4 linked regions of the Anolis sagrei genome follow. The protein of the gene in region 3 interacts with the protein of the main gene of each other region in a pairwise test. Links are inferred from orthologs where the notes say so. Each region holds a gene or a part of one and is shown on either strand. Other genes may lie near its edges.

Region 1 (7,129 bases), on a different chromosome or scaffold from region 3:
GCTGCAGAATTCAAAGAGGAACTAACGGAAGGCGAAAGGGAGAAACGAGAGCGTCTGGTCTTGCAAAGCCCTCTTATAGTGCCGAAGTTTATTAAATATGGTATTCTGTGGGCGAGCAGATGGCGACTACTGGGTGGCATATGTCCTGTAGCAGAAACTTGAGCTGATGTGGTCTACCCAATGCAGTTTTCTGAATCAGCACCCCAAATAACCAAACCTAATCTAAAGTTGACCAAAAACTGATTCGTAAGCTTTTTGGTACTAATGCTGGAGAGTGGTCCCTGTGGAAGAGCAGACTACGGGATGGCATATGTTCTGTATCAGAAACTAGAGCCGATGTGGTCTATCACAGGCAATTTTCAAAACCAGCACCCCAAATAACCAAACCCAATCTTACATTGACCAAAAACCGATTCATAACCCTTTTGGTACTTATGTTGGAGAGTGGTCCCTGGTTTTCTCTGGCCGAGCAGATGGCGACTACTGGATGGCATGTGTTCTGTATTAGAAACTGGAGCTGATGTGGTCTATCCAATGCAATTTTCTGAATCAGCACCCCAAATAACCAAACCAAATCTAAAGTTGACCAAAAACTGATTCGTAACCTTTTTGGTACTAATGTTGGAGAGGGCAGCAGAACACCAACCTGACTCCCTGTTCTTTAGAACATCTTTTCATATACACTGCCATATAACCCAGTTCAAAGCAAAGCATGTGGATTATCTGCTTTGATAATCTTTGTTATATGGCAGCGTGGAAGGGCCCTGAGTCTACGCTGCCGTATAACACAGTTCAAAGCAGATCATGTGCTTTGTTTGCTTTGATATTCTGGGTTATATGGCAGCATAGAAGGGGCAACTAGACAACTAGGCCCATTACACACAGCTATATAAAATCCACAAGATCTGCTTTGAACTGGATTATATGTCCATGTAGACTGAGGGACCTTCTCACAGCCATGTATTCATTTATATGCCCATCCCCCTCCAAACACCCCACCTTGCCATGCTCAGCACTTTTTAATTTGAATTATTACATTTGGCCCGGCCATTGTTTTTAATTGCGTCATTAGATGTTGTTAATGTTATTGCTTTGTTTTTTTGTTTTTTTGAGTTATTGTGTTGTTGTTGCTGCTGCTGTTTTTATTGTTGTATTTGGGCTCGGCCAAGCCACATTATTATTATTATTATTATTATTATTATTTACGGCATTTATATGCCACCCTTCTCACCCCGAAGGGGACTCAGAGTGGCTTACTATATATATATATAGCATAGTACAATATAAGTATTATATATTACTATATTGTACTATACCATTATATTGCTACAATATTAGTAATATTACATGTAATATAAAACCTATAATTATAATATTGTATTATGTAACCCTGAAAATCAAGGCACAATGTCCACAATGCCTGCTTTGAACTGGATTATACATGTGTGTAGACTCAGGGGCCTTCATCATAGGCATCTAACCCTGGAAATCAAGGTAGATCGTCCACAATGCCTGCTTTGAACTGGATTATACATGTGTGTAGACTCGGGGACCTTCATCACAAGCATCTAACTCTGGAAATCAAGGCACAATGTCCACAATGCCTGCTTTGAACTGGGTTATACATGTGTGTAGACTCAGGGCCCTTCATCACAGGCATGTAAACCGGGAAATCAAGGATTGGCGAAAGGGGAAGAGTTACCTGAGTCCAGACTGGCATTTAACCCAGTTTTACATAACTCACCTGGAAATGACACCATGCCAGATTTGATCAGTTCCCATTCTGACGTTGGAGAGATTAACAATGTCATGGATTCAGCCATTGGATATAACGACTGCATCCCTGTGTCAGGTGGCTGTTCCATTGTAACTGTAATGTGGATGGGATACAGCTGTGTGGAGGGGGCCCAAAGGGAGACCCAGGGCGCCCCAAAGGAGTAAACAATCAACATCCATTGGCATTCCTGACTCAGGGCCCTTCAACACAGCCATGCAACCCAGAATCATAGAATCAAAGAGTTGGAAGAGACCTCCTGGGCCCTCATCCAGTCCAACCCCATTCTGCCAAAAAGCAGGAATATTGCATTCAAAGCACCCCTGACAGATGGCCATCCAGCCTCTGCTTAAAAGCTTCCAAAGAAGGAGCTTCCACCACACTCCCTCCGGGGCAGAGAGTTCCACTGCTGAACGGCTCTCACAGCCAGGAAGTTCTTCCTCATGTTCAGATGGAATCTCCTCTCTTGTAGTTTGAAGCCATTGTCCCATTGCGTCCTAGTCTCCAAGGAAGCAGAAAACAAGCTTGCTCCCTCCTCCTCCCTGTGGCTTCCTCTCACACATTTATACATGGCCCTCATCATGTCTCCTCTCAGCCTTCTCTTCTTCAGGCTAAACATGCCCAGTTCCCTAAGCCGCTCCTCATAGGGCTTGTTCTCCAGACCCTGGATCATTTGAGTCTGCCTCCTCCTCTGGACACATTCCAGCTTAGAGTCAAGATCTCTCTTGAATTGTGGTGCCCAGAATTGGACACAATATTCCAGGTAAAGTGGTCTAACCAAAGCAGAATAGAGGGGTAGCAGGAGGCCTGCTTTGAACTGAGTTACCTGAGTCCAGACTGGCGTGTAACCCAGTTCCATGTGGAAGGGATACAGGTGTGTGGAGGGGGCCCAAAGGGAGACCCAAAGAAGTAAACAATCCCCCTCCATTGGCATTCCTGAGGGCGGGGGTGTCCTTGGGGGAGGGAGGGAAGGAGGAAGACCCGCCCCCCTCAGAGGGGGGAATGATTGACAGCGAGGGTTTAAAGGGGAGGGGGGGCTTTGGAGTGAGGGGAACTCAAGGGAGGGAGGGAGTTGAGGTGAAGAAAGAAGCCGAGGCCTAAGAGGCCAGGCCTGCCTTACCTGCCCGGAGAGGCCTGGCTGAGAGAGAGAGAGAGAGGCCCAGGCGCGCTCCCTTCCACTCTCTGTCTCTGAGGGGGAAACTCCAGGCCCAGGCGCGCCCCCGAGGCACGCCCCCGCCGCCGCGCGCCCCCGCCCCCTTCCGGGCAAGAGCCAGCAGCACTCCAAACTCTCTTCTCACAGGGAGCGTGCGCGCTCGCGAGAGAGAGAGAGGAGAAGGCGTGCGTGCGCCGTGCGTGCGCGCTCCCGACCCTCGCTAAGAAGCTTGCCACGCAGGCCGCTCCTTGCTAGCCCCGCCCCCTACTTTCCGCTCCTGTCTCAGAACTCAAGCGTTTCTCTCTCTCTATCGCGCATGCGTGAGAGGAAAAAGACGGCTTCGTCGTGGCCCCGCCCCTTCTCGTTTCCCTCCAAGACTGACACACATTCTCTCTCTCGCATGTGCGCATGCGTCTGAGAAAGAAGGAGTCAGGGAAATGAAGGGAAATGGGGCGTGGTTTCCTTGTGGTCCCGCCCCTTCTCGTTTCCCTCCAAGAGTAACACACATTCTCTCGCGTGTGCGCATGCGTCTGAGAAAGAGGGAGTCTGGATTAGAAAAAGGAAATGAAGGGGAGAAAGGGGGCGTGGTCTCCTTGTGGCCCCGCCCCTTCTCGTTTCCCTCCAAGAGTAACACACATTCTCTCGCGTGTGCGCATGCGTCTGAGAAGGAAGGAGTCAGGGAAATGAAGGGAAAGGGGGCGTGGTTTCTTTGTGGCCCCGCCCCTTCTCGTTTCCCTCTAAAACTGACACTCTCTCGCGTGTGCGCATGCGTCTGAGAAGGAAGGAGTCAGGGAAATGAAGGGACGGGGGCGTGGTTTCTTTGTGGCCCCGCCCCTTCTCGTTTCCCTCTAAAACTGACACTCTCTCGCGTGTGCGCATGCGTCTGAGAAGGAAGGAGTCAGAGAAATGAAGGGAAAGGGGGCGTGGTTTCTTTGTGGCCCCGCCCCTTCTCGTTTCCCTCCAAGATTGATACACACACGCGTGTGCGCATGCGTCTGAGAAGGAAGGCTTCTGGATTAGAAAAGGGAAATGAAGGGGAGAGAGGGGGCGTGGTCTCCTTGTGGCCCCGCCCCTTCTCGTTTTACCTCTATTCGTTCCTGTCAAAAAAGACACTCTCTGGAGCGCGCATGCGCATGGGAAGGAAGGCGTCAGTTTGGTATAATTTTAAGGAGGCGTGGCTTCGCTGGTGGCCCCGCCCCCTTCTTATCCTTTCTCTCCGTTCCCGTCTAAAAGAGAGGCTGACTCGCGCATGCGCGTGAGGATAGGAAGGCGGAGCCGGATTGGAGAAATGAGGGGAGGGTGTGGGGCGTGGCTTCGGGAGTGGGCGTGGCTTATTAATGGGTCTGTTGGAAACTAGGCAAGATGCCCAGAAGGGCAGGAAGCACCCAGGCTTTGAAGCTGCAAGGGCATTCAATGCTAATTTTTTTATTATTATTATTTTATTATTTCACCTTGTCCATTTGGCCTGCCCATCTTGTTCGATTTTATTTTGTGTGAATTTGCTTTATTATTTTACTTTGCTGTTGTAATCTGGTCCATTTAGTTTTCCTGGCAAGGATACTGGGGTGGTTTGCCATTGCCTTCCGCAGGGATCACGCTTGGTCTGACCTCTCTGCCACGACCGTCCCGTCTTGGGTGGCCCTTCACGGTTTCGCTCATGACATCATTGAGGTGCTCAAGCTCCAGCGCCACAACAAGGCGGTGATCCTTATTTCTCATCATGCCAGGAAGGGAATGCTCAAGATCCTGCAAGGAAGACTCCAGCCAGACATGGAGCGAGAGAGTGGCCAGATGTTCAAGCTGGGTTTAGAAAAGGCAGAGGAACCAGAGACCAGAGTGCCAATATCCGGATGCTAGAGAATGGAGGAAGGCAGGGAGTTTCAGAAAAACATCTATTTCTGCTTCATTGACTCTTCTAAAGCCTTGGACTGTGTGAATGATCATCATAAATGGTGGCAAGTTCTTGGTGGGATGGGCATCCCAAGCCCCCTTCCCTCTCTCCTGAGGAATCTGTCCAAGGACCAAGGAGCCGCAGTCAGAACTGACCACGGAACAGGAGACGGGTTCCAGATTGGGAAAGGCGTCCGGCAAGGCTGCATCCTCTCACCCAACCTTTTTAACGTGTATGCAGAACACATCATGCGAGGATGTGCGGGGCTGGATGAATGCAAAGCTGGGGTGAAAATGGCTGGAAGAAACATGAACAACCTCAGATATGCAGATGACACCACTCTGATGGCCGAAAGCGAGGAGGAGCTGAGGAGCCTTCTCATCAAGGGGAAAGAAGAAAGCGCAAAAGCCGGGTTGCAGCTAAACGTCAAAAAAACCAAGATGATGGCAACAAGAATGATTGACAACTGGGAAATAGAGGGAGAAAACGTGGAGGCCGTGACAGGGTTTGTATTTCTAGGCGCAAAGATGAGTGCAGACGCAGACTGTGGCCAGGACATCAGAAGACGCTTCCTTCTTGGGAGGAGAGCAATGTCCAATCTCGATAAAATAGTCAAGAGCAGAGACATCAGACTGGCAACCAAGATCCATTGCCTAGTCAAAGCCATGGTCTTCCCTGTAGTAGTCACCTACGGATGTGAGAGCTGGACCTTAGGGAAGGCTGAGCCAAGGAAGAGAGATGCTTTTGAGCTGTGGTGTTGGAGGAAAGTTCCGAGAGTGCCTTGGACTGCGAGAAGATCCAACCAGTCCATCCTCCAGGAAAGAAAGCCCGGCTGCTCATTGGAGGGAAGGAGACTAGAGGGAAAGCGGAAGTCCTTTGAAGGCCACCTCATGAGGAGACAGGAAAGCCTAGAGAAGACAATTATGCTGGGGAAAGTGGAAGGCAAAAGGAAGAGGGGCCGACCAAGGGCAAGATGGATGGATGGCATCCTTGAAGTGACTGGACTGACCTTGAAGGAGCTGGGGGTGGTGACGGCCAACAGGGAGCTCTGGCGTGGGCTGGTCCACGAGGTCACGAAGAGTCGGAGACGACTGAACGAATGAACAACAACAACAATTGTAATTATCTTCCGATGTAATTTTCTTTCTGTATTCTGTATTTTATTGTGTTGTATTGCATTTTTGGGCTTGGCCTCATGTTAGCTGCCCCGAGTCCCCATTGGGGAGATGATGGCGAGGTATAAATAAAGATTATTATTATTATTATTATTATTATAAAACCCCTGTGCCGGCAGGACTGAAGAGTGACAGGTCGCAGGTTTGAATCCAGGGAGAGGTGGATGAGCTCCCTCTATTAGCTCCAGCTCCTCATGCAAAGGGGACATGAGAGAAGCCTCCCACAAGGATGATAAAAACACCAAATCATCCAGGCAATGTCCCCTGGGCAACATCCTTGCAGACAGTCAATTCTCTCACAACGGGAGCGACTTGCAGTTTCTCAAGTTGCTCCTGACATGACCAAAAAATATTATTATTATTATTATTATTATTATTATTATTATTATTATCAAGGTGACCAGCTGCACCATTCAAACGTGCCTCCAACAGACAAGAGTCCTTTCTCCCACCCTGGACATCATTCCAAAGGTATATAAGTCCAACTTGACCATTTTCTGACAAACCCCTCAACCTCTGAGGATGCCTGCCATAGATGTGGGAGAAACGTCAGGAGAGAATGTTTCCAAAACATGGAAAGGCAGCCCAGAAAACCTACAACTACCCAGTGAAACCTTATGAAGTCAATACGGACTTTAGGAGGGTCTCCCCAGTAAGAGAGACCTCTAGGACCGCACCAAAGAGAGTCCCTTGTACTTGGCAAGCCGTCAGAGAAGCCTAATTCCAGTAATTTTATTGATATTAATAATTGAAATGAGACTCTTGCCAAGGCGAAGAAGAGGCATCGAGGTTTAATGAGCGATTCAGCTGAAGCGGATGCCATTGCAGTGATCATTCACATGCAAGCATACCAGTACATTGATCAGAGGCATTGTTGTTGTTGTTCATTTGTTCAGTCGTCTCCGACTCTTTGTGACCTCATGGACCAGCCCACGCCAGAGCTCCCTGTCGGCCGTCACCACCCCCAGCTCCCTCAAGGTCAGTCCAGTCACTTCAAGGATGCCATCCATCCGTCTTGCCCTTGGTCGGCCCCTCTTCCTTTTGCCTTCCACTTTCCCCAGCATCATTGTCTTCTCTAGGCTTTGCTGTCTCCTCATGATGTGGCATTCAAAGGACTTCCGCTTTGTCTCTAGTAT
Region 2 (7,332 bases), on a different chromosome or scaffold from region 3:
GGTATGGCTGGTTGCTCACAATGGGACACAGCACAAAACATTGCAATTTTTGTCGCAGATTGGCGAGTATGGATTGCAGACTATGAATGCATCTTGTGACGGTGCGAGTGGCACCACCTATGTATAGAACTGTTAGTTGTAAGACTTAAACTGTTGTATCATGCTTAATCCTGCCCCTTTTTAACACTGCTTATGTATAGTTGTATGGATTGGTTGCTTGTAGCTGTCAATCAGTACTGTTTGGCTCCACCTCTTCCTGCAAGAGGGGAGAACTTCCTTTTTCTTCTTCATTCTGCCATCAGAGTTCGTACCAGATGGACATGAGTAAAAGACTTGATTCTAAAGGACCCTGATTTAAGTTACCTCTTAGCATCAGTTCTGAGGTTTTTTACCCCTGGGACTCATGCTTTATGTCCAGATCATCCTGGACAATTATTGAGGAGACCCAGGCGCCTTCAAGTCGGTTCTTTTGGCACCAAAGGAAGATCCCGAATCTTCAAAACATAGGCCATCTGAACTGGGGTTGTGGTTTGCCCCAGCATTCACAGCCATTGAGGAAAGAGGAAACTTGGAGAGGCTTCTCAGCTTCAAACCCCTTGGACCCAGGACTGATTGAGACTGTAATATATGTTTTCCTTCACCCCTCTAAAGTTTTCCAGCTCATTGCTTTAAAGAAATGACTTTGTGATAAATAAAACTTATTTTGAGCTATTTACAGCGTTTTGGGTTTTTGGGAGTTCCAGTTTCCTATAGGAGGGCAAGAAACAATCCCCTGGGGGAAAGGTGCCACGTCCATCCCTCCTTTATTGAGAATAAGAGCCCCCAGGCGCAACGGCACAATCTACATCAGGTATGAGCAAACATGCGCCCTCTGGGTATTTTGGACTCCAACTCCCACAATTCCTAACAGCGCTCTCTGGGCCTCCAAAAAATTGGGTTCCCTAAAAAATTTGTGAAAATCCTGCGGCTCCTCCATGATGACATGATGGCAACAGTCTTGGACAGCAATGGCTCCCAAAGTGACCCATTTAAGGTGGAATCGGGTGTCAAACAGGGATGATGTGTTATTGCCCCAACCTTATTCTCCATCTTCATCGCTATGATACTTCATCTTGTTGATGGGAAGCTTCCCACTGGAGTGGAAATCATCTATTGGACAATGTATTGTTGAAGGCTTTCATGCCAGAATCACTGGGTTGTAGGTTTTTTTGGACTATATGGCCATGTTCTAGAGGCATTCTCTAGAGGAATGCCTCTAGAACATGGCCATATAGCCCAAAAAAACCTACAACAATCCATCTATCAGACAGATGGCAAGCTGTTTAATCTCAGCAGACTGAAAGCAAAAACTAAAATTACAACTACATAGAACTCCAGTATGCTGATGACAACATCGTCTGTGCGCATTCAGAAGAAGACCTACAAGCCACTCTAAACACCTTCGCAGAAGCATATGAGAAGCTCGGCCTGTCATTAAACATCGAGAAAACCAATGTGTTCTTCCAGCAAAAGTCACCAGCCAACCCTCTCCAATGCCAGAAATGCAGCTTAATAGTGTAACATTAGAAAATGTGGACCATTCTGCTCCCTTGGCAGCCACCTCTCCACCAAAGTCAATATCGACACCAAAATACAACACCGCCTGAGCTCTGCGAGTGCAGCATTTTCCCGAATGAAGCAGAGAGTGTTTGAGGACCGGGACATCTGTAGGGAGACCAAGATGCCATTCCCCTCCCAACCCTGCTCTATGCCTGCGAAACATGGACTGTCTACAGACGTCACATGCAACTCCTGGAACGATTCCATCAGCGCTGCCTCCGGAAAATCCTGCAAATCTCTTGGGAAGACAAGCGGACAATATCAGCATGCTGGAAGAAGCAAAGACCACCAGCATTGAAGTGATGCTCCTCTGCCATCGACTCTGCTGGACTGGCCACATCATCCGGATGCCCCACCACCGTCTCCCAAAGCCGTTGCTCTACTCTGAACTCAAGAACGGAAAACAGATGTTGGTGGGCAGGAAAAGAGATTGAAAGATAGGCTCAAAGCCAACTTTAAAAACCCTGGCACAGACACTGAGAACTGGGATATCTTTGCCCCTTGATCACTCCAGCTGGAGTTCAGCTGTGACCAGCAGTGCTGCAGAATTTGAAGAGGCACGAATGGAGGGTGAAAGAGAGAAACATGCCAAGAGGAAGGCGTATCAAACCAACCCTGACCAGGACCGCCTACCGCAGTGGTTCTCAACCTGGGGTCCCTAGATGTTTTTGGCTTACAACTCCCAGAAATCCCAGCTAGTTTACCAGCTGTTAGGATTTCTGGGAGTTGTAGGCCAAAAACATCTGGGGACCCCAGGTTGAGAACCACTGGCCTTCCATCTGGAAACCAATGCCCTCACTGTGGGAGAAGATGCAGATCAAGAATTGGGCTCCACAGTCACCTATGGGCCCACAACCAGAACACCTACCTTGGAGGACCATCATCCTCGGACTATAAGGGATCGCCTAAGTAAGTAAGTTAGGAATTGTGGGAGTTGAAGTCCAAAACACCTGGAGGGCCCAAGTTTGCCCATGTCTACACAGTCAATGCTGTGGGATCCTGGGAGTTGTAGTTTGGTGAAGCACCAGCACAACCCCCAGGATTCCATAACATGTTTAAGTGGGTTCAAACTGCATTACTTTTGCAGTGTAGACGAACCCTTGGGAAACAAACGACTCTGTTTCTCTGAAATGTTTGTGTGGCAAGTTCCCCAAAACTCACCCTGCGTCGCGAAGGGACTTGACTGCCTTGCGGAGTAGATGTGGCCTGAGGAGATATCAGGCTGGAGCTGTGGGCAAACGGGGAGCTCCTCTGGAGGTGCGAAGGGATGAAGTCGTCCAGGCTGAGTCCCAGGTTGGCCTCGGGGGCCCCGGCCCTAGAGATGAGGCTGGGCATCTCTGCTGCGATGGAGGAGGAGGAGGAGGAGGAGGAGAGAGGGCCTCCAGGACCAAGACGAGGATGACGCTCACTAGACGAGATGCCCTGGGTGGGTAACAAAAGGAGAGGGTGGCTTTAATACAGTCCCCAAGTTATGAACAAGATAGGTTCTGTAGGTTTGTTCCTCGGGTGAATTTGTATGTAAGTCGGAACAGGTACATTTTCTAAGTGTAACTCCATATCTATAAATAAACATTTAATGTCTTGTCGAAGGCTTTCATGGCTGGAATCACTAGGTTCTTGTGGGTTTTTTCGGGCTATAGAGCCATGTTCTGGAGGCAATTTTTCTCCTGACGTTTCGCCTGCATCTATGGCAAGCATCCTCAGAGACCTGACTACCTCTGAGGATGCTTGCCATAGATGCAGGCGAAACGTCAGGAGAAATGCCTCTAGAACATGGCTCTATAGCCCGAAAAAACCCACAAGAACCTAAAAATGTAAGGTTCGTTTGTGGGATTGACGTAACTCAAAAACCACCGGGCGAATTGACACCAAATTAGGACACAAGGCACCTCTCAGGCCAACGAGTGACCATCACTCAGAAAAACACTGAAAAAATACATTACAATGCATGCATAAAACCATATATATATATATATATATATATATATATATATATATATATACACACACACACGCAAACACACATATACACAAATATATACACACATATATACACACCCAAAACACATATACACAGACTGGGCCACAGCAACTCGTGGCAGGGGACGGCTAGTCTATAAATAAAAATGTAATGTTCGTTTGTGGGATTGACGTAACTCAAAAACCACTGGGCGAATTGACACCAAATTAGGACACAAGACCCCTCTCAGGCCAACGAGTGACCATCACTCCTAAAACACTGAAAAATACATTACAATGCATGCACAAAACCACATATATATATATATATATATATATATATATATATATATATATACACACACACACACACACACACACACACACGCAAACACACATATACACAAATATATACACACATATATACACACCCAAAACACATATACACAGACTGGGCCACAGCAACTCATGGCAGGGGACGGCTAGTCTATAAATAAAAATGTAATGTTCGTTTGTGGGACTTACGTAACTCAAAAACCACTGGGCGAATTGACACCAAATTTGGACACAAGGCACCTCTCAGGCCAACGAGTGACCATCACTCAGAAAAACACTGAAAAAATACATTACAATGCATGCACAAAACCACACACACACACATACACACACACACACACACATATATATACGCAAACACACATATACACAAATATATACACACATATGGAGCCCCCGGTGGCGCAGTGGGTTAAAGCACTGAGCTGCTGAGCTTGTTGATCGAAAGGTCACAGGTTCGATACCAGGGAGTGGCGTGAGCTTCTGCTGTCAGCCCTAGCTTCTGCCAACCTAGCAGTTCGAAAACATGCAAATGTGAGTAGATCAATAGGTACCGCTCCGGCGGGAAGGTAACGGCGCTCCATGCAGTCATGCCAATGGCCACATGACCTTGGAGGTGTCTACGGACAGCGCTGGCTCTTCGGCTTAGAAATGGAGATGAGCACCAGAGTCCCAGAGTCAGACATGACTGGACTTAATGTCAGGGGACTACCTTTACCTTTACCTTATACACACATATACACACACCCAAAACATATATACACAGACTGGGCCACAGCAACTCGTGGCAGGGGATGGCTAGTCTATAAATAAAAATGTAATGTTCGTTTGTGGGATTAACAGAACTCAAAAACCACTGGGCGAATTGACACCAAAGTTGGATACAAGACACCTACTAACCTAAGGAGTGACCATCACTCAAAAAATGGATTTTGTCATATGGGAGTTGTAGTTGCTGGGATTTATAGTTCACCCACAATCAAAGAGCATATTGAACCCCACAAACGCGGGAATTGAACCAAACTTGGCACACAGTTCTCCCATCACTGTGGACTCAAACAATGAGAGATCTGGACCAAACTCTACACAAATACTCAATATGCCCAAATGTAAACACTGGTGGAGTTTGGGGGGAATAGAATCTTAACATTTGGGAGTTGTAGTTGCTTGGATTTATAGTTCACCTACAATCACAGAGCATTCTGAACTCCACCAATGATAGAATTGGGCCAAACCTCCCACACAGAACCCCCATGTGGGCCACAGCAATGCGTGGCAGGGGACGGCTAGTATATACATTAAAATGTAATGTTCGTTTGTGGGATTAACAGAACTCAAAAACCACTGGGTAAATTGACACCAAATTTGGACACAAGACACCTAACAACCCAATGTATGTCCTTCACTAAAAAAAATGATTTTGTCATTTGGGAGTTGTAGTTTGCTGGGATTTATAGTTCACCTACTATCAAAGAGCACTCTGAACCCCACCAACGATGGAATTGAACCAAATTTGGCACACAGTTCTCCCATGACCAAGAGAAAATACTGGAAGGGTTTGATGGGCAGAGTCCTTTGGTTTTGGAGTTGTAGTTCACCTACAATCAGAGATCACTGTGGACTCAAACAACGATTGATCTGGACCAAAGTTGGCACAAATACTCAATATGCCCAAATGTGAACATTGCTTAGGTTTGGGAAAATAGAATCTTGACATTTGGGAGTTGTAGTTGCTGGGATTTATAGTTCACCTACAATCACAGAGCATTGTGAACCCCACCAATGATAGAAATGGGCCAAACTCAGCACCCCCTGAATCAAAATCCTGGCTACGGGCCTGATCCTGCATATCAGATATCTCCATTACAATTCATAGGTAGGTAAAGGTTGTCCCATGACATTAAGTCCAGTCATGTCTGACTCTGGGGTGTGGTGCTCATCTCCATTTCTAAGCCGAAGAGCCAGCGTTGTCCGTAGACACCTCCAAGGTCATGTGGCGGGCATGGCTGCATGGAGCGCCGTTACAATTCATAACAACAGCAAAAACATATTTATGAAGAATGTTCTGGTTGGGGGTCACCACAACGTGAGGAACTGTATTAAGGGGTCGCGGCATTAGGAAGGATGAGGAACATTGCATTAAGAAGAACTTCCTGACAGAGTTTCCACCTTGGAGTCTGGTGCAGTTTTTGTAGGCTTGGATGGCCATCTGTTGGGCCTGCTTTGATTGTGTGTTCCTGCCTGGCAGAAAGGGTTGCACACTGGACGGACTTTGTGGTCTCCTCGAACTCTAGGAGTGTATGAGTTTGTTGCCCACACAGAAACCTTGGCTCCCTCTCCTCCCCCGTCCGGTCTTATGCGCCCGGGCAGGAATGCAGCTGTGCAACGGAGCACACTGTACAGCCTTGTTTGGGGCTGAATAATTAATGTGAAATGGGTTGCATTGTCACAGCGGAAGGCCAGACACAACAGGCATGCACCCCCTGCGCTGGCACAGGAACGTGGCCAGGCAGTGACCTTGCTGTGGGCAATGCACCAGCTGTGGGAAGACGGCTTGCTTCTCCGCCTTGCTCCTTTAACTCCCTGGCATCATTTTTGGTGTGAGAAGCTCCCTTGGGCAGCTTTGCAATGGAAAGGCCCATTTATCCTGCCACATCCCCATCTTGAGTCTGACTATATTGGAGGGAGGCTATCTTTGTAGACTGCAGTGGCTCCGCTTCTTCCCGGAGAGTCACTCCCAGTTGGTGAAGCTGGGGGATACCTGTTCGGACCTGTGGCCTTTGACCTGTGGGATAGAATCATAGAATTGGGCATATCGGGTCTTTGTGCCAAATGTGATCCAGTGAATGAAAATACATCCTGCATATCAGCATATTTACATTACGATTCATAACAGGAGCAAAATTGCAGTCATGGAGTATCAACAAAAATAATGTTATGCTTTTGGGTCACCACAACATATTAAGGAACTATATTAAGGGGTTGTAGTATTAGGATGGTTGAGAAACACTGATATAAGGGGGTTGGTTGAACCCTCGGTTTGCAAGTAAAACTGAATCGCCATGTTGCGATGCATGCCTAAGAATGTTTGGGAAGCTCCGATCTAGAGGTCAGTTTGGACAAAAAAAAAAGGGATAGATTTTCCCTGTTTAAGTTCATTCCCCACCATTTGATTTCCGAAGCTTTTTGCTGGGAACATGTGGAACTGGACGTGTCCAGAGCTCTATTCTCTCTGCGTATTTCCTGCATGGCTCCCAATGTGCCGCCACACCCCTGTTTTGCGCATGTTATCTAATCATCCCTTGGAGAGGGGTGCTCCTGAGGCCGCATCATTCCTTCCATGGGAATCAGAGACGGCAATGCCTCCATTTGGCTGCCAGACAAGGGCCTGATGGGAAGCCCAGAAATGGATCCAAGCCCTGCCGTTTGTGACCGGAG
Region 3 (7,490 bases):
TTTTGCCTGGAGAAATTTGTAATAATTGTAATAATTCCACTAGGTTTGCTTGCTCTTTTTAACACTCAGACAAAACCCTTCAAATGTTTTTTAACCGCTTTACTGATTATAAGAAATTGGAGAAAAATATTCCATTCATGGCTTCTTTGCCTAACAACTCCACCACTGAACCTTCTCAAATTGCTCACTGTACTCATTTTTTACAACCCAGTTGTTTTCAATGAAGTTCAGCTTCTATCTGAAAACAGTTGGCACCAAACATAAAGAATTGTGTTCATGACAGAGGAAGATACCTAACAGACCCTGTGGGAAAGGTGTGTGTAATTACATTTGTAGAGAGGAGCTATTCTTCCAGCACCAGCTGGTTGTGGAGTTATTAAGAAGGGCTACAAATTGCATTGTACAGATTAAGGGAATCCCTGTTTCAGAGGCAATGACATCCAAGTCTCAAGAGGAGTTTGGCCTTTTTTTCCAAGGCATCACAGTGGAAATAAAAATAAGGATTACTCATTTCAATTTTTTCCTTTTAGTTATTTCCAACATGGTAACCCTAAGGCACAGGTTTGCAGCTTGGGAGTTCTCCTGGACTCATAGCTGAGTTTGGATCCCCAGGTTTCGGGGGTAGCGAGGGGAGCATTTGCATAATTAAAACTTGTGTGCCATTTGTCCTCATACCTTGGGAAGTCAGTCTTGGACACGGTAGTCCACACTCTGGTTACATCCCGTATAGACTACTGCAACGCACTCTACTTGGGGTTGTCTTTGAAGACTGTTCAAAAGCTTCAAATGGTCCAACGGGTGGGAGCCAGATTGCTCACTGGAGCAGCGTACAGGGAGCATACAGCCCCTCTGTTATGTCAGCTCCACTGGCTGCCAGTCTGCTACCGAGCACAATTCAAAGTGCTGGCTTTAGCCTATAAAGCTTGAAATGGTTCCGGCCCAGCTTACCTGTTCGAACGTATCTTCCCCTATAAACCACCTCAGAGATTAAGATCGTCTGGGGAGGCCCTGCTCTCGGTTCCAACCCCTTTGCAGGTGTGACTGCTGGGGATGAGAGACAGGGCCTTCTCAGTGGTGGCCCCTTTGGTGTGGAATTCCCTCACCAGGGATATTAGATCAGCCCCCTCCCTCCATAAGACCTTCCATAAGAGAGTGCAAACGTGGCTCTGTGACCAAACCTTTGGAGAACTTGTGCAATAGAGAGATATGGAATGTTGTGCAATGAGTATTGGAACAGCCCAGATTACGCTTGAGGATTACGTTATTGTGAAGGTATTTCCATAAATGCAGGGTAGAAATGTCACAAATAAGCAAATAAATAAGGCAGTGGTTCTCAGCCTGTGGATCCCGAGGTGTTTTGGCCTACAATTCCCAGAAATTCCAGCCAGTTTACCAGCTGATTTTCGGGACCCACAGGTTGAGGGTCACTGCCCTATGGTGACCCAGGGCCCTTCCACACAGCCATATACATTATAATTTCCTCCTACGAACCTGTGCGATCTCTCCGATCTTGGGGGAGGCCCTCCTCTCTCTCCCGCCTCCATCACAGGCACGGCTTGTGGGGACGATGGAGAAGGCCTTCTCTGTGGTTGCCCCCCAGCTCTAGAACTTGCTCCCCAAGGAGATTAGACAGGCACCCACCCTGACAGTCTTTAGAAAAAGTTTAAAAACCTGGCTTTTCCTGTGTGCTTTTGGGGACTGAACTATCAATTTCCATGCCATGTCCTGTTCCAAGTCCAACTTGACTTTCTGATGCTCTTCATCTTATCTCTAAGTTGAAGATTAATTCTACTGTTATCCCGTTTGAGCCCCCTCACAAATTATAGCACTTTCTACCTACCCCACCTATGAGTTTTATCAATTTCTATCCACTTTTAGTCATGAGCCTCGCTCTCTTTTTCTAATTCTATTACCATTTTATCGTGTGTTTTTATTATGATTTTGTTATTTTCATTTTATTATGTTATTATTAAGTATTTTATTTGATGTTATTGTTTTGTTTATATGCATTTTGCTCTATTGTAATTTCATTTGGGCTTGGCCTCATGTTAGCTGCCTCGAGATGGTGGAGGGGTATAAATAAAGTTGATTATTATTATTATTATTATTATTATTTGAAACACAACAAGATGAGTCCACAGCAGACAAGATCTCTCTGCTGGCTGTTGTATTGGATCACATGTCAGACACTTCTAAATGGTGTATTTTAATATCTGATAAATGTTTTTTAATGTTTATGTATTGTATGTGAATTTGTGTCTCAGTATTGAATGTTTTCTGTGTATATGCTGTGCTTCGCCCTGAGTTCCCTTCGGGGTGAGGGCGGAATATAAATGTTTTACATAAATTGTCGAAGGCCTTCATGGCCAGAATCACTGGGTTGTTGTAGGTTTTTTTTCGTGCTATATGGTCATATTCTAGAGGCATTCTCTCCTGACGTTTCACCTGCATCTATGGAGCCCCCGGTGGCGCAGTGGATTAAAGCACTGTGCCGGCAGGACTGAAGACGACAGGTCACAGGTTCGAATCCAGAGAGAGGCAGATGAGCTCCTTCTATTAGCTCCAGCTCCTCATGCGGGGACATGAGAGAAGCCTCCCACAAGGATGATAAAACATCAAAAATCATCCAGGTGTCCCCTGGGCAACATCCTTGCAGACGGCCAATTCTCTCACAACAGGAGCGGTTGCTCCTGACATGACAAAAACAAAACAAAACACCTGCATCTATGGCAAGCATCCTCAGAGGTAGTGAGGTCTGTTGGAAGTAGGAAAATGGGTTTATATATCTGTGGAATATATTTGTTTTATGTGTGTGTGTGTGTGTGTGTATTTCTATATATATATATATATATATATATATATATATATCCCACCCTAGTCTTTCCACAGATATATAAACCCGTCTAGAACAGGGGTCCACAAACTTTTTAAACAGAGGGCCAGGTCACAGTCCCTCAAACAGTTGGAGGGCCGGATTATAATTTGAAAAAAAAACATGAATGAAAATCCAACAAATGCTACGTTCAGCAAAGGACAAGAGGGATCCTCTCACCTCGGCAGGAGTCTACCGTATACCATGCAGCTGTGGACAAGTCTACATAGGGACCACCAAACGCAGCATTGCCCAGACACGAATCATGGAACATGAAAGGCACTGCAGACTACTTCAACCAGAGAAGTCAGCCATAGCAGAGCACCTGATGAACCAGCCTGGACACAGCATATTATTTGAGAACACAGAAATGCTGGACCACTCCAACAACCACCATGTCAGACTACACAGAGAAGCCATTGAAATCCACAAGCATGTGGACAATTTCAACAGAAAGGAGGAGACCATGAAAATGAACAAAATCTGGCTACCAGTATTAAAAAACTCTAAAATTGCAACAGCAAAACAGCAGAGAGGAAACAACCAGGCACATCTTAACACCTCTCAACAGAACATTTTCCCAGGCTCAGCCAGGCCTTCAAATGCTAATGAAGGTGGTCAGCTGAAACATTCACACCTAGCTCCAGCAGAGAAGAGCTCTTTGCCCCACCCCAGTCATTCCACAGATATATAAACCCATTTTCCTACTTCCAACAGACCTCACTACCTCTGAGGATGCTTGCCATAGATGCAGGCGAAACGTCAGGAGAAATGCCTCTAGAACAGTGGTTCTCAACCTGGGGTCCCCAGATGTTTTTGGCCTTCAACTCCCAGAAATCCCGGCTAGTTTACCAGCTGTTAGGATTTCTGGGAGTTGTAGGCCAAAAACATCTGGGGACCCCAGGTTGAGAACCACTGCTCTAGAACATGGCCATATAGCCCGAAAAAACCTACAAGAACCTCATGAATGAATTCCTATGCACACTGCACATATCTTATTTGTAGTGCAAAAACACTTTAAAACAATACAATAATTAAAATCAAGAACAATTATAATAAACATAAGCTTATTAGTATTTCAATGGGAAGCGTGGGCTTGCTTTTGGCTGATGAGATAGGATTGAAGGCCTCGGGCCTCCACTTCAGAGCCTCCATGAAGTGAAGGGAAAGCGAGCCAGGCTGGACATACCTTTCAAGGCCAGGAGATGCTCCTGCTTGGGCTGGGTGACATCCATGGCCTCAGCCTCGCCACTTCGGGGCCTCCTCCTTTAGACGCACAAAATCCCTCCAGCTTCTGCCGGAAGCACTTCCCCTTTTCTCCCGCCTCCACCACACAACGAAATGAACCCTCTCTGCCTTTGGCCCACTCTCTGTTCGCCCTAGCGTTGGGAACTACATCCCCCAGAATGCCCTTCGGGTAGGCGTGCTGAGCTTCCTCCAAGCTGTCAAGGCAAAGCATGATGGTAGCTGTAGTCTTTCGCGACTGGGAAGGAGCATGAAGCGTGACGTCGAAGGAGACATGCGCAGTGCAATAGGAAACCAAATCTTCGGCGGTTCTCATTGGTGTGACGTCAGCGCGCAGACCCTCCCCGCTGTTTCCAGGGAAACTACGCTGTGGGCGGAGAAAGAGCGGGGAGCGAGCGGAGTGGGCGGATGCTGCTGCTGCTCGGGCTTTCTCCTTCCCTTTCCAAGATGGCGGCGCTGAGTGTAAACAAGGTCGGGGCTGGCGCAGGGATAGATGCCGGGAGCAGGCCGGGACGGAGCCCGGGCGGCCCGGTAGTGAAGGTGAGGAGAGCGGGAGAGGCCCGGGAGGCTTTCCTTCGAGGCTCGCCGCCTTTGGGGGTGGGAAAGGCCATGAAACCCTTCGGCTGTAGAGAAGGCCGCAAATATTTCTGCAGTAGGATGTGATCCTTCTGTGGATCGATTATCTGGTCGACTGTGGGTGCATCTACACTTTCATATTAATGCAGTTTTGACACCACTTTAACTGCCATTGCTCAATGCTGTGGGATCCTGGGTGTTGTAGTTTTGCAAGGCCTTGTCTGTCAAAGAGAGTAGGTGCCTCAACAAACTACAAAGCACAGGATTGCTATAGCATCTTTGAGCCCCTCCAGACAGCCATATAACCCAGAATATCAAGAGAGATGATCCCACAATATCTGCTTTGAACTGGGCTGTCAAGAGTCCGCACTGCCATATAACCCAGTTCAAAGCAGATAATGTGGGGTTTTATAAAGCTGTGTGGAAGGGGCCAGAGTCAGCAGCTAAAATGCGGTCAAACTGCATTAATTCTGCAGTGTAATCTATATAAATAAAAATGTAATGTTCGGGTTGTTGTAGGTTTTTTCAGGCTATATGGCCATGGTCTAGAGGCATTCTCTCCTGACGTTTCGCCTGCATCTGTGGCAAGCATCCTCAGAAGTAGTGAGGTCTGTTGGAACTAGGAAAAAAACAGACCTCACTACCTCTGAGGATGCTTGCCATAGATGCAGGCGAAACGTCAGGAGAGAATGCCTCTAGACCATGGCCATATAGCCTGAAAAAACCCACAACAACAGTGATTCTGGCATTGAAAGCCTTCGACAATACAATGTAATGTTTGTTTGTGGGATTAACATAACTCAAAAACCACTGGACGAATTGACACCAAATTTAGACACAAGACACCTCTCAGGCCAACGAGTGACCATCACTCAGAAAAACACTGGAAAACACAGTAGAAGGGTCTTAAAAGCCACAAACAAAAAATACATTGCAACACGTGCAAAACCACATATATACCGCAAACACACGTATATACACATATACAAATAGATACACACATATGCACATATATACACACACAAAACACATATACACAGACTGGGCCACAGCAACACATGGCAGGGGACGGCTAGTAATAATAATAAACTTTATTTATACCCTGCCACATTATGTTGACTTTTGTATTGGTTGAAATTAAACATAGTCAGTTAATGAAACCTCTGTGAGTGAGGCTCCTGTATAGAAATTATTTTTATTCTGCCTTGAATTTCATGATGGCAGAAAGGCAGAATCTAAATAAAGTAAATGTCCACCCAGGCCCTCTTTTCCTCCATGAATCTGGCATATTTGCAGCAGCACTAGAGGATGGCTGAGGAAACACACTTTAGATACTACGTTACAGCAGTTGATCTACAGTAAAAAAATAAAATCTGTAATAAAACCTGAGCTGAGAAAGAATGGGATTCTGCTTTAGGGTATTCTTTCTCTATTATTTCTACCTCTGGTATCAAACTTTCTGTTAAAGAGGAAATGCCTAGTAACACACCTACTTTGTTAACTGAGGTATGTCTGTACTCCTTTGTAACTTTTAGGTTCTGGAATGTGGAGTCTGTGAAGACGTATTCTCATTACAAGGAGACAAAGTTCCTAGACTGCTTCTGTGTGGCCACACTGTTTGTCATGACTGCCTCACTCGACTTCCTCTCCATGGCAGAGCAGTTCGATGTCCTTTTGATCGGCAGGTTACTGAGCTAGGTAAGATACAGAAATAGTAATAACATTAACATTGAAATAATCATATTGTGGCACCAAAATTCTGAAATTTAGTCAATAAAAGCATAATTATATTTAAGCTTTATTCATATAGCTTTTGTGCGTTGTATTGTTCTAGACAAAGACATATGTAAATTATATTAGAACATTGTAATTGTAATTAAGTTTTTATTTTAGTAGTGCAAGCGTAGCTTTAGAAACAAACCCATATTGGTTGGAAGGTAACTCAAACATTTTGACTGTGCCATTCAAAAATAGTAGCCCTTCTCTGTGCTACAAAAGTTGTGGAAAATTTTACAAATTAGTGAAATGTAACCTTGGAGATTGTCAGAGTTCTATGGCATTGAATTAATTGGCAAATATTCTCAGAATTGGGCTATTTATTTATCATGTCAGGAGCGAACCAAACAGTTGTATTGTATTTAAAAAACACACAGAGAGGATTTGCAAACTCTATTAAATGTCCTTTGACCAGTACCTGGCCACCTGGAGTGCCTCCGGCGCTGCCACAAAAAGGTCCTCCATTGTGCATGCGGCAGGGCTCAGGTCGCACTGTAGTAGGTGGTCTGTGGTTTGCTCCTCTCCACACTTGCATGTTGTGGATTCCACTTTGTAGCCCCATTTCTTAAGGTTGGCTCTGCATCTCAATGTTCAGTGCCTTCCAAGTCACGCAGTTTTCTGTGTGGCAGGGGGAGTCTCTCATTTGCTATCAGCCATTGATTGAGGTTCTGGGTTTGGGCTGGCCTTTGGTAAGTGTGGTTGGATAAGCTTTAAAATTAAACCCAGGATGTAAAAGTTACTGAGTCCAGCAAGGGATTTTTCTCCGTAGTCAGCTTAACTAGACACGAAAGCTTTGTTTCTTTGAGCATGTTCCATAGCTCACTAAGCTATTTCAACTGCATATTTTTAAATAAATTTCTAGCTTTGTAAAGAAAGCACCTATGGTCAAAACATAGCCTGCTGTTCATGATAATGCAATATCACTGGTGGCAGAATTAGATTAGGAGAAATATGATATAAATGAGGTTGTGTTTCTTATGGAAGGGGAGCTTAATCATATTTTCTGTAATGCAGTCTGTGC
Region 4 (7,828 bases), on a different chromosome or scaffold from region 3:
AGGAGAGCATGAAAATGAACAAAATCTGGCTACCAGTATTGAAAAACTCTAAAATAAAAACAGTAAATAAAGAACAACACACTAAAAACAGAGGAAATCCAGAAAAGAAGCGATGAGGGCTAGCTAACACCTCCCAACAAGGATGCTTTGAGGCAGGAAACAGCCAGGCTTTGAAGCTGCAAGACCATTCAATGCTAATGAAGGTGGCCAATTGCAACATTCACACTTGCCTCCAACAGACAAGAGTTCTTTCTCCACCCTGGTCATTCCATAGATATACCAACCTCACTTGCGTAGTTTCCAATAGATCTCACAACCTCTGAGGATGCCTGCTATAGATGTGGGTGAAACGTCAGGATAGAATGTTTCTGGAACATGGTCATACAGCCCAGAAGACTCACAGCAACCCAAACCAAAGAATGCTGGTATCTCACCAAGATGGAAGCCCAAGTTTGTGAAACACTGGATCCAATCAGATATCTTGGGATGAACATGGCAATGTAGTATATTTTTACACCAGTTGAGTTATGCTATGTGGGGTGTTTACACTGTTGACATAATGCAGTATGCAATCACCTTAACTGCCATGGCTCAATGCTATGGAATCTTGGGAGTTGTAGCTCGGTGAGGCATTTGCCCTCTTTGGCGAGGAGGCCAAAGACCTTATAAAACTACATAGCATAGCAATTCAAGGCATAGCCATTCAAGAGGTACAAAACTGCATGAATATCATTTATGGACTACTCTAGAATACACCAGTTTACAAGTTTGTAGAACTGGTAGGCAAATTATGTCATGCCAATGCACACTGCAATTTGCACATGAGAGTTAAAGGAAGTATTGAATAGGAACAACTCTGCAGTGTAGACACTTTCAAAGCACACTGATTCCAGCCAACTTTTCCTATACCTTGTTAGAAGCTTGTTTATCCAAAGTACCCTTCGGCTTGAAAAAGCTTGGTTTCCCAGCGGAACAGCTTAAATTCCCCTAGACTACCAACCTAGATATAAATGTGTTCTTTCTCAGTGTGCAGTTGCTGATTACCAGCTGCTTTTTCAATCCTCAAGTGTTAATCTGGATTTGAAAGGGGTTTAAAAAAAAAAAAAAGCACCCTGCATATTTGTCTCAGTATATCTGAGAACACGAATCTCCACCCTAGAACATTCTTGAATTGTCTGGAGTCAGTTTCCCCACGGCTATTGCCTTAAGAGATCATTTCAGCCCAAGAAAGGCAGAGCAAGGAAGGAAGAGGAGGAACTTCCCCTGATATATATGATCTTCAAAAACATTTGTCTGGCACTTCTGAAAAAGGAGGTGGAAAAAAGATATCACGTGTCCCAACAATGGATGTCCCCATGTCTCAAATGAATAGAGTTTTTGATATTTAGCTGCCATGGTTCAATGGTATTATTATTATTGTTGTTGTTGAAAGCTTTCATGGCCGGAATCACTGGGTTGTTGTAGGTTTTTTCGGGCTATATGGCCATGTTCTAGAGGCATTCTCTCATGACATTTCACCTGCATCTATGGCAAGCATCCTCACAGGTAGTGAGGTCTGTTGGAACTAGGAAAATGGTGCCCCCGGTGGTGCAGTGGTTTAAAGCCCTGTGCTGGCAGGACTGAAGACCGACAGGTCGCAGGTTCGAATCCCGGGAGAGGCGGATGAGCTCCCTCTATCGGCTCCAGCTCCTCATGCGGGGACAAGAGAGAAGCCTCCCACAAGGATGACAAAACATCAGAAATCATCCGGGCGTCCCCTGGGCAACGTCCTTGCAGATGGCCAATTCTCTCACAACAGGAGTAGTTGCTCCTGACACGACCAAAAAAAAAAAAAAAACTAGGAAAATGGATTTATATATCTGTGGAATGACCAGGGTGGGACAAAGAACTCCTTTCTGTTGGAGCTAGGTGTGAATGTTTCAACTGACCACCTTGATTAGCATTTGATGGCCTGGTTGTTTGGTGTGGCTTGTTAGTGCCTGGGGGAATCTTTTGTTGAAAGGTGATTAGATGTCCCTGATTGTTTCCTCTCTGTTGTTTTGCTGTAGTAATTTTAGAGTTTTTAAAAATACTGTTAGCCTGATTTTATTCATTTTCATGGTCTCTTCCTTTCTGTTGAAATTGTCCACATGCTTGTGGATTTCGGTGGCTTCTCTGTGTAGTCTGACATGGTGGTTGTGAGAGTGGTCCAGCATTTCTGTGTTCTCAAATAATCTGCTGTGTCCAGGTTGGTTCATCAGGTGTTCTTCTATGGCTGACTTCTCTGGTTGAAGTAGTCTGCAGTGCCTTTCATGTTCCTTGATTCGTGTTTGGGCCATTCTGCTGCGTTTGGAGGTCCCTATGTAGACTTGTCCACAGCTGCATTGTATACAGTAGACTCCTGCAGAGGTGAGAGGATCCCTCTTGTCCTTTGCTGAACGTAGCATTTGTTGGATTTCCTTGGTGGGTCTGTAGATAGTTTGTATGTTGTGTTTCCTCATCAGCTTCCCTCTGCGGTCAGTGGTTCCCTTGATGTATGGCAAGAATGCTTTTCCTCTGGGTGGATCTTTGTCTTTACTCTCGTGGCTTGTTCTCAGTCTTATTATTGTTTGAAACACAACAAGATGAGTCCAGAGCAGACACTCTGCTGGCTGTTGTATGGGATCACACGTTGGACACTTCCCAAGTGTACTAGGACTGTGTGATGGATCGGCGAATAATGCGTGCAGATCCCAGTAAGCTGGCTTTTTGCAGCTGGCAAATGGTAATTTTGTCAGCGCCAATTGTGTTTAAGTGCAGGCCAAGGTCTTTAGGCACTGCACCCAGTGTGCCGATCACCACTGCGACCACCTTTACTGGCTTGTGCCACTGCCTTTGCAGTTCGATCTTTAAATCCTCATATTGTGTCAGCTTTTTCAGGAGTATTGTGCTTCAAAACTCTGTCTGACTGAATCTGGAATTATTATTATTATTATTATTATTATTATTATTATTATTATTACCCTGCTTTATGTCTCCCAAATGAGACTCAAAGCAACTTGACATAAAAATTGGGTTGTAGGGTTGCTGTGAGTTTTTGTGGCTATGTTCCAGAAGCATTCTCTCCTGACATTTCGCCCATATCTATGGAAGGCATCCTCAGAGGTTGTGAGGTTGGAAATAGGCAAATGAAGCTTATATCTGTGGAATGATGTCCAAGGTGGGAGAAAGAACTCTTGTCTGCTTGAGGTAGGTTGCAATTGGGCACCTTGGATTAGCATGGAATAGCCGTGCAGCTTCAAATACAGCATCGGCCAAACATGAATCAAGGAACATGTAAGGCACTGCAGACTACTTCAGCCAGAGAAGTCAGCCATAGCAGAGCACCTGACGAACTAGCCTGGACACTGCATATTATTTGAGAACACAGAAATGCTGGACCACTCCATGTCAGATTACATAGAGAAGCCATTGAAAACCACAAGAAGCATGTGGACAATCTCAACAGAAAGAAGGAAACCATGAAAATGAACAAAATCTGGCTACCGGTATTTTAAAAACTCTAAAAACAGGACAATAAATAAAGAACAACACTCTGAAAACAGGAAATCCAGAAAGGAAAAATCAGGTTCAGTTAACACCTCCCAACAAAGGATTCCCTCCAGACAGGAAGCAGCCTGGTTTTGAAGCTACAAGATCATTCAGTGCTAATCAAGGTGGCCAATTGCGACATTCACACCTGTCTCAAGCAGACAAGAGTTTTTTCTTCCACCCTGGACATCATTCAACAGATATATAAACCTCACTTGCTCAGTTTCCAACAGACCTCACAACCTCTGAGGATGCCTGCCATAGATGTGGGTGAAACATCAGGAGAGAATGCATCTGGAACATGGCCATACAGCTCGGCAAACTTACAGCAACCGATTCATTCCGCTCATGAAAGCCTTCAAAAACACAAATTGAGTTGTAGTTTTATGAGTTCTTTAACCTACTTTGCCAAAGAGGATTGGTGCCTCACCAAACTACATCTCTTAGTTAAAAGTGATATCAAGCTTCATTAATTCTACAGTGTAGACGCACCCAGAGAAAGAGAGATCTACAGCCAATAGCAAGAAATGCATAGGATGGATATCTGCTTTTTGCTAATGGGTTGTCAAAGCGGTGCCCCTGTAACCAGAAAAATATTTTCTCTGACATGTGTGGAGGCATCTCTGCTATTAGTAGCACAATCCTTTTCTCATTCTCTCGCCACATCTTCTAATGTAAAGTGTGCAGATGTTGTTGCTTTTCTTACTCCCATCAGACAAATGAGACTTGCACTAAGGCATAGGAGTGCAAAGGACCATGCCTGAGATGGCGCTCAAAAAGCTGAAATGCTCAACTGCCCATATGTTCTGTTCCGACCCCGCGTAGAGAACCCAGATGGCCATAGAGCAGATTTTCACTTCTTGGAGGTCTGGAATTGGCATGCTCTTCCCTAGCGTTTTGTGTGAGGTGGCCAGCTGCCAATCCTAGGCTTCCACTTGCATTACAAGCCTGATGCTTCATGTGGACATACGCCAAAGGGAACCATCTAACAAAATTGCCTTCGACTCGACATCAACTGGACAACCCAGGCCTCCGAAAAGATTGCTCCACGCCTGCTGTCAATGGGGATCCCTTTTCAAAAACAGGTGGCTGAACTGGTTTCCGTGGCCTCTTTGTGCACGTTATTTTATTTTATTTTTGAAACAAATAAATAAATAAGTGGAAACGACACGTAAACAGATCTTCATTCCCCAACCTGGTCGGACAGGAATCTTCTTGGGTGTGTCAGCCTTATATAATTAGCTATGTAGCTGGATCTCTCTGATGTCTTTTGTAACATCTCTCGTTGGCTGGCTCTACCCAGCATAATTCAGGTGTTCGTTTTCTCCTCCCCGTTCTTCCAGGTGTGGCATTTTGGTAGTGCTTTCGCTGTCATTCCTCCTCCACTCCTTGCTGGGACAGGAGCTTGAAAAGGTTTGCCTATTTTTGTGACAAGAGCAGGTGAGGCTGAACTTTGACTATTTCCTAACAGGGACCCAAACTTGCAGGCCAGAAAGAAAGAGACAAAGCCCAGAAAGATAGAAGAAAGCCTACGGCATGGAGACGGCAAGGACAAATGGGACCACCGGGAAGCCAGAGGAAGGGAAGAATGTAACCTCTCCTAAGAAGGAGGGAGACGAAGGGAAGAAACCCACCAGCCCAAATCGAGGGGAGAAGGACACCAACAAAAGCAATGCCTCAGTGGAAACAGGCCAACTGAAAAATTCTATTTATGCTGGGGGTGACTGGAAGAGACCAATCATCCAGTTTGTGGAATCATCTGATGAGAAAAGGTCGACCTACTTCAACATGGAGCCCGGGGAGTCCAAGAAGTCCAACTTCCCAAATGTGCAAATTGGAGAACCTCGGAGGCCCCAAGTTTCCTTCCCTGAGAGAGGAGATCTGAGGAAGTCCCTATTCAACATGGAAGCAAAGAAACCCTTTGCTAATGAAGCGGAGGAGAAAAAGTCATTGTATTCAAGTGGGGCGATTTCAGATCTCAGGAAGCCCATCCTCCGAGAATCAGGAGAAGCCAAGAGGAACAACTACAACCGGGCCAGCCGAAGTCCCACTTCCAGGCCCCGTGTTCTGGAAGAGGTCCTCTGTGACTCCTGCATTGACAACAAGCAGAAAGCAGTCAAGTCCTGCCTGGTGTGTCAAGCCAGCTTCTGCGAGCTCCACCTGAAGCCCCACTTGGAAGGGGCGGCTTTCCGGGACCACCAGCTCTTGGATCCCATCAAGGACTTTGAAGCCCGGAAATGCCCCGTCCATGGCAAGACGATGGAGCTCTTCTGCCAGACGGACCAGGTCTGCATCTGTTACCTCTGCATGTTCCAAGAGCACAAGAACCACACCACGGTGACGGTGGAGATTGAGAAATCTGGGAAAGAGGTACGGTCCTATTTTATGTCTTCTTTGTTTACTTGCTGTATAGGTTACCCTTTTCTCCCTACCAGGACCACCGGGTGAGGCATGTTAAGCCAAAGACAAGTGTCCCATTTCTAATACAGCTCAGTATCTCAAATAATGATGGCTGATCTATCTTTCCTTGCTACAGAACCCACAGGTGTTGGTTGGTATGGGCATATCCCTCATTTGATTGCTCAACATATGATGACTTGCAGTATATGTTCAGGTTGTACTTAAAGTTGCATGCTATGTGAGGTAGATAAGAAAATAATATTATTCGAAACACAACAAGATGAGTCCACAGCAAACAAGATCACTCTGCTGGCTGTTGTATTGGATCACACATCGGAAACTTCCCAAGTGTCTAGGATTGTGTGATGTATTGGTGAATAATGTGTACAGATAATTAAAAGACGATTCAGAAGACTACTGCTACCGAAGTGAAGATGATTGGAAGCCGAACCTAAGCCCATTTTCCTAGCCAAACCCACCCTATACCTTCTACCCCTAACCCAACCATACCATTCCTGAGCTTACCCTCCCTCCTTTTTCTTTTAACTTAATCCTGTAATAAGAAAACTTCAATAAAAATATTTTAAAAAATAATCTCAGTAAGGTGGCCTTTTGCAGCTGGCATATGGTAATCTTGTCAGCGCCGATTGTGTTTAAGTGCAGGCCAAGGTCTTTAGGCACTGCACCCAGTATGCCAATCATCACTGGGACCACTGGGACTATCACCACCACCACCAATAATAATAATAATAATAATAATAATAATAATAATATACTAGACGCTTGGGAAGTGTTCGACTTGTGATTTTTTATATGAAATCCAGCATATAGATCTCATTTGCTGTGAGATACTGTGCATTTGTGTCAACAACAACAACAACAACAACAACAACAATAAGGTTTTCCAAAAAAAGGCAAATGTTTTTGTGAGTCCATGGAGCTGACTCATAAATATGTTAACGTTCTTGCTTGATGCCAGTTGAAGAACATGCAACTTGTCCATCTTCACAACCATCTCTTATTTATTTATCTCCTGCTTCCCCAGGATTGTGACCCAATAACTGAACCTTATCATTATCGTCTGCTTTCAAATAATCTCTGATTAACGGTGACCCTGAATAACTAAGATTTATCTCTTGTGTTGACTCTCCAACCAGTAATTGATAATTGGATCTACTCTACAATATTCAATCTGCCGAATCCTTGCTACCAATGTGGGCTTGGGGAGCTTTACTTTGGCATGGAAAAAAGTATTATATTTCAGCATTGTATTGTATGGAAACTGGGAAAGCCGACATCTTTCCTTAAGTGGTACAGGTTTTGTTTTGCTGGGGAAAGGATGAAAGGAAAAGAGAACATGGATCCTGTGCCTTTAACACTTAAGCAGAAGAGAGTTTCAGCTAGCGACTGGTTCAACTTGTCCTGGCACAGGCCTGCAGGCTGAGTAAGGCTGTACGTAGCGGAAGGCACTTTCTCCCTAGAACAGGCAAGAGTCTATTAAAAGAAAAAAAAGTTGGCAAGAAGAAGGAAATATAGATGTCGGGTGCAGATTTGCTCAGAGCCAATGACTTATGTGAGCCTGAAAGACATGGAGACCTGGACTATCTTTGAGAAGAAAGGCTGGATTCATACAGTTGGGAGAGACCTCATGGGCCATCCAGTCCAACCCCATTCTGCCAAGAAGCAGGAAAATTGCCTTCAAAACACCCCTGACAGATGGCCATCCAGCCTCTGTTTCAAAGCCTCCAAAGAAGGAGCCTCCACCACACTCTGGGGCAGAGAGTTCCACTGCTGAACAGCTCTCACAGTCAGGAAGTTCTTTCTGATGTTCAGGTGAATTCTCCTTTCTTGTAGTTTGAAGCCATTGTGTCTGAGTCTC

Evidence for each region.
Region 1: the proteins of TRIM23 (region 3) and NEK6 interact in binary tests that used the Homo sapiens proteins (3 or more experiments, as listed by UniProt). The link is inferred for Anolis sagrei from reciprocal best matches to the Homo sapiens genes TRIM23 and NEK6.
Region 2: the proteins of TRIM23 (region 3) and SORBS3 interact in binary tests that used the Homo sapiens proteins (3 or more experiments, as listed by UniProt). The two-hybrid records come from large-scale screens. The link is inferred for Anolis sagrei from reciprocal best matches to the Homo sapiens genes TRIM23 and SORBS3.
Region 4: the proteins of TRIM23 (region 3) and TRIM29 interact in binary tests that used the Homo sapiens proteins (3 or more experiments, as listed by UniProt). The link is inferred for Anolis sagrei from reciprocal best matches to the Homo sapiens genes TRIM23 and TRIM29.

Annotation. Positions count from the first base shown.
Region 1 is NC_090031.1:625,956-633,084, forward strand, and holds the start of NEK6 (serine/threonine-protein kinase Nek6), read right to left. Parts: upstream 3,020-7,129; 5' UTR 2,895-3,019; intron 2,623-2,894; exon of another isoform or gene 2,601-2,622; intron 1-2,600. UniProt on the Homo sapiens protein: Protein kinase which plays an important role in mitotic cell cycle progression. Required for chromosome segregation at metaphase-anaphase transition, robust mitotic spindle formation and cytokinesis.
Region 2 is NC_090027.1:1,016,640-1,023,971, forward strand, and holds the start of SORBS3 (vinexin), read right to left. Parts: upstream 3,018-7,332; 5' UTR 2,935-3,017; coding exon 2,761-2,934; intron 1-2,760. UniProt on the Homo sapiens protein: Vinexin alpha isoform promotes up-regulation of actin stress fiber formation. Vinexin beta isoform plays a role in cell spreading and enhances the activation of JNK/SAPK in response to EGF stimulation by using its third SH3 domain.
Region 3 is NC_090022.1:268,041,602-268,049,091, forward strand, and holds the start of TRIM23 (E3 ubiquitin-protein ligase TRIM23), read left to right. Parts: upstream 1-4,482; 5' UTR 4,483-4,525; coding exon 4,526-4,657; intron 4,658-6,228; coding exon 6,229-6,391; intron 6,392-7,490. Other genes in the region: TRAPPC13 (trafficking protein particle complex subunit 13), read right to left, coding at 4,062-4,107.
Region 4 is NC_090027.1:37,820,040-37,827,867, forward strand, and holds the start of TRIM29 (tripartite motif-containing protein 29), read left to right. Parts: upstream 1-4,827; 5' UTR 4,828-5,085; coding exon 5,086-5,919; intron 5,920-7,828.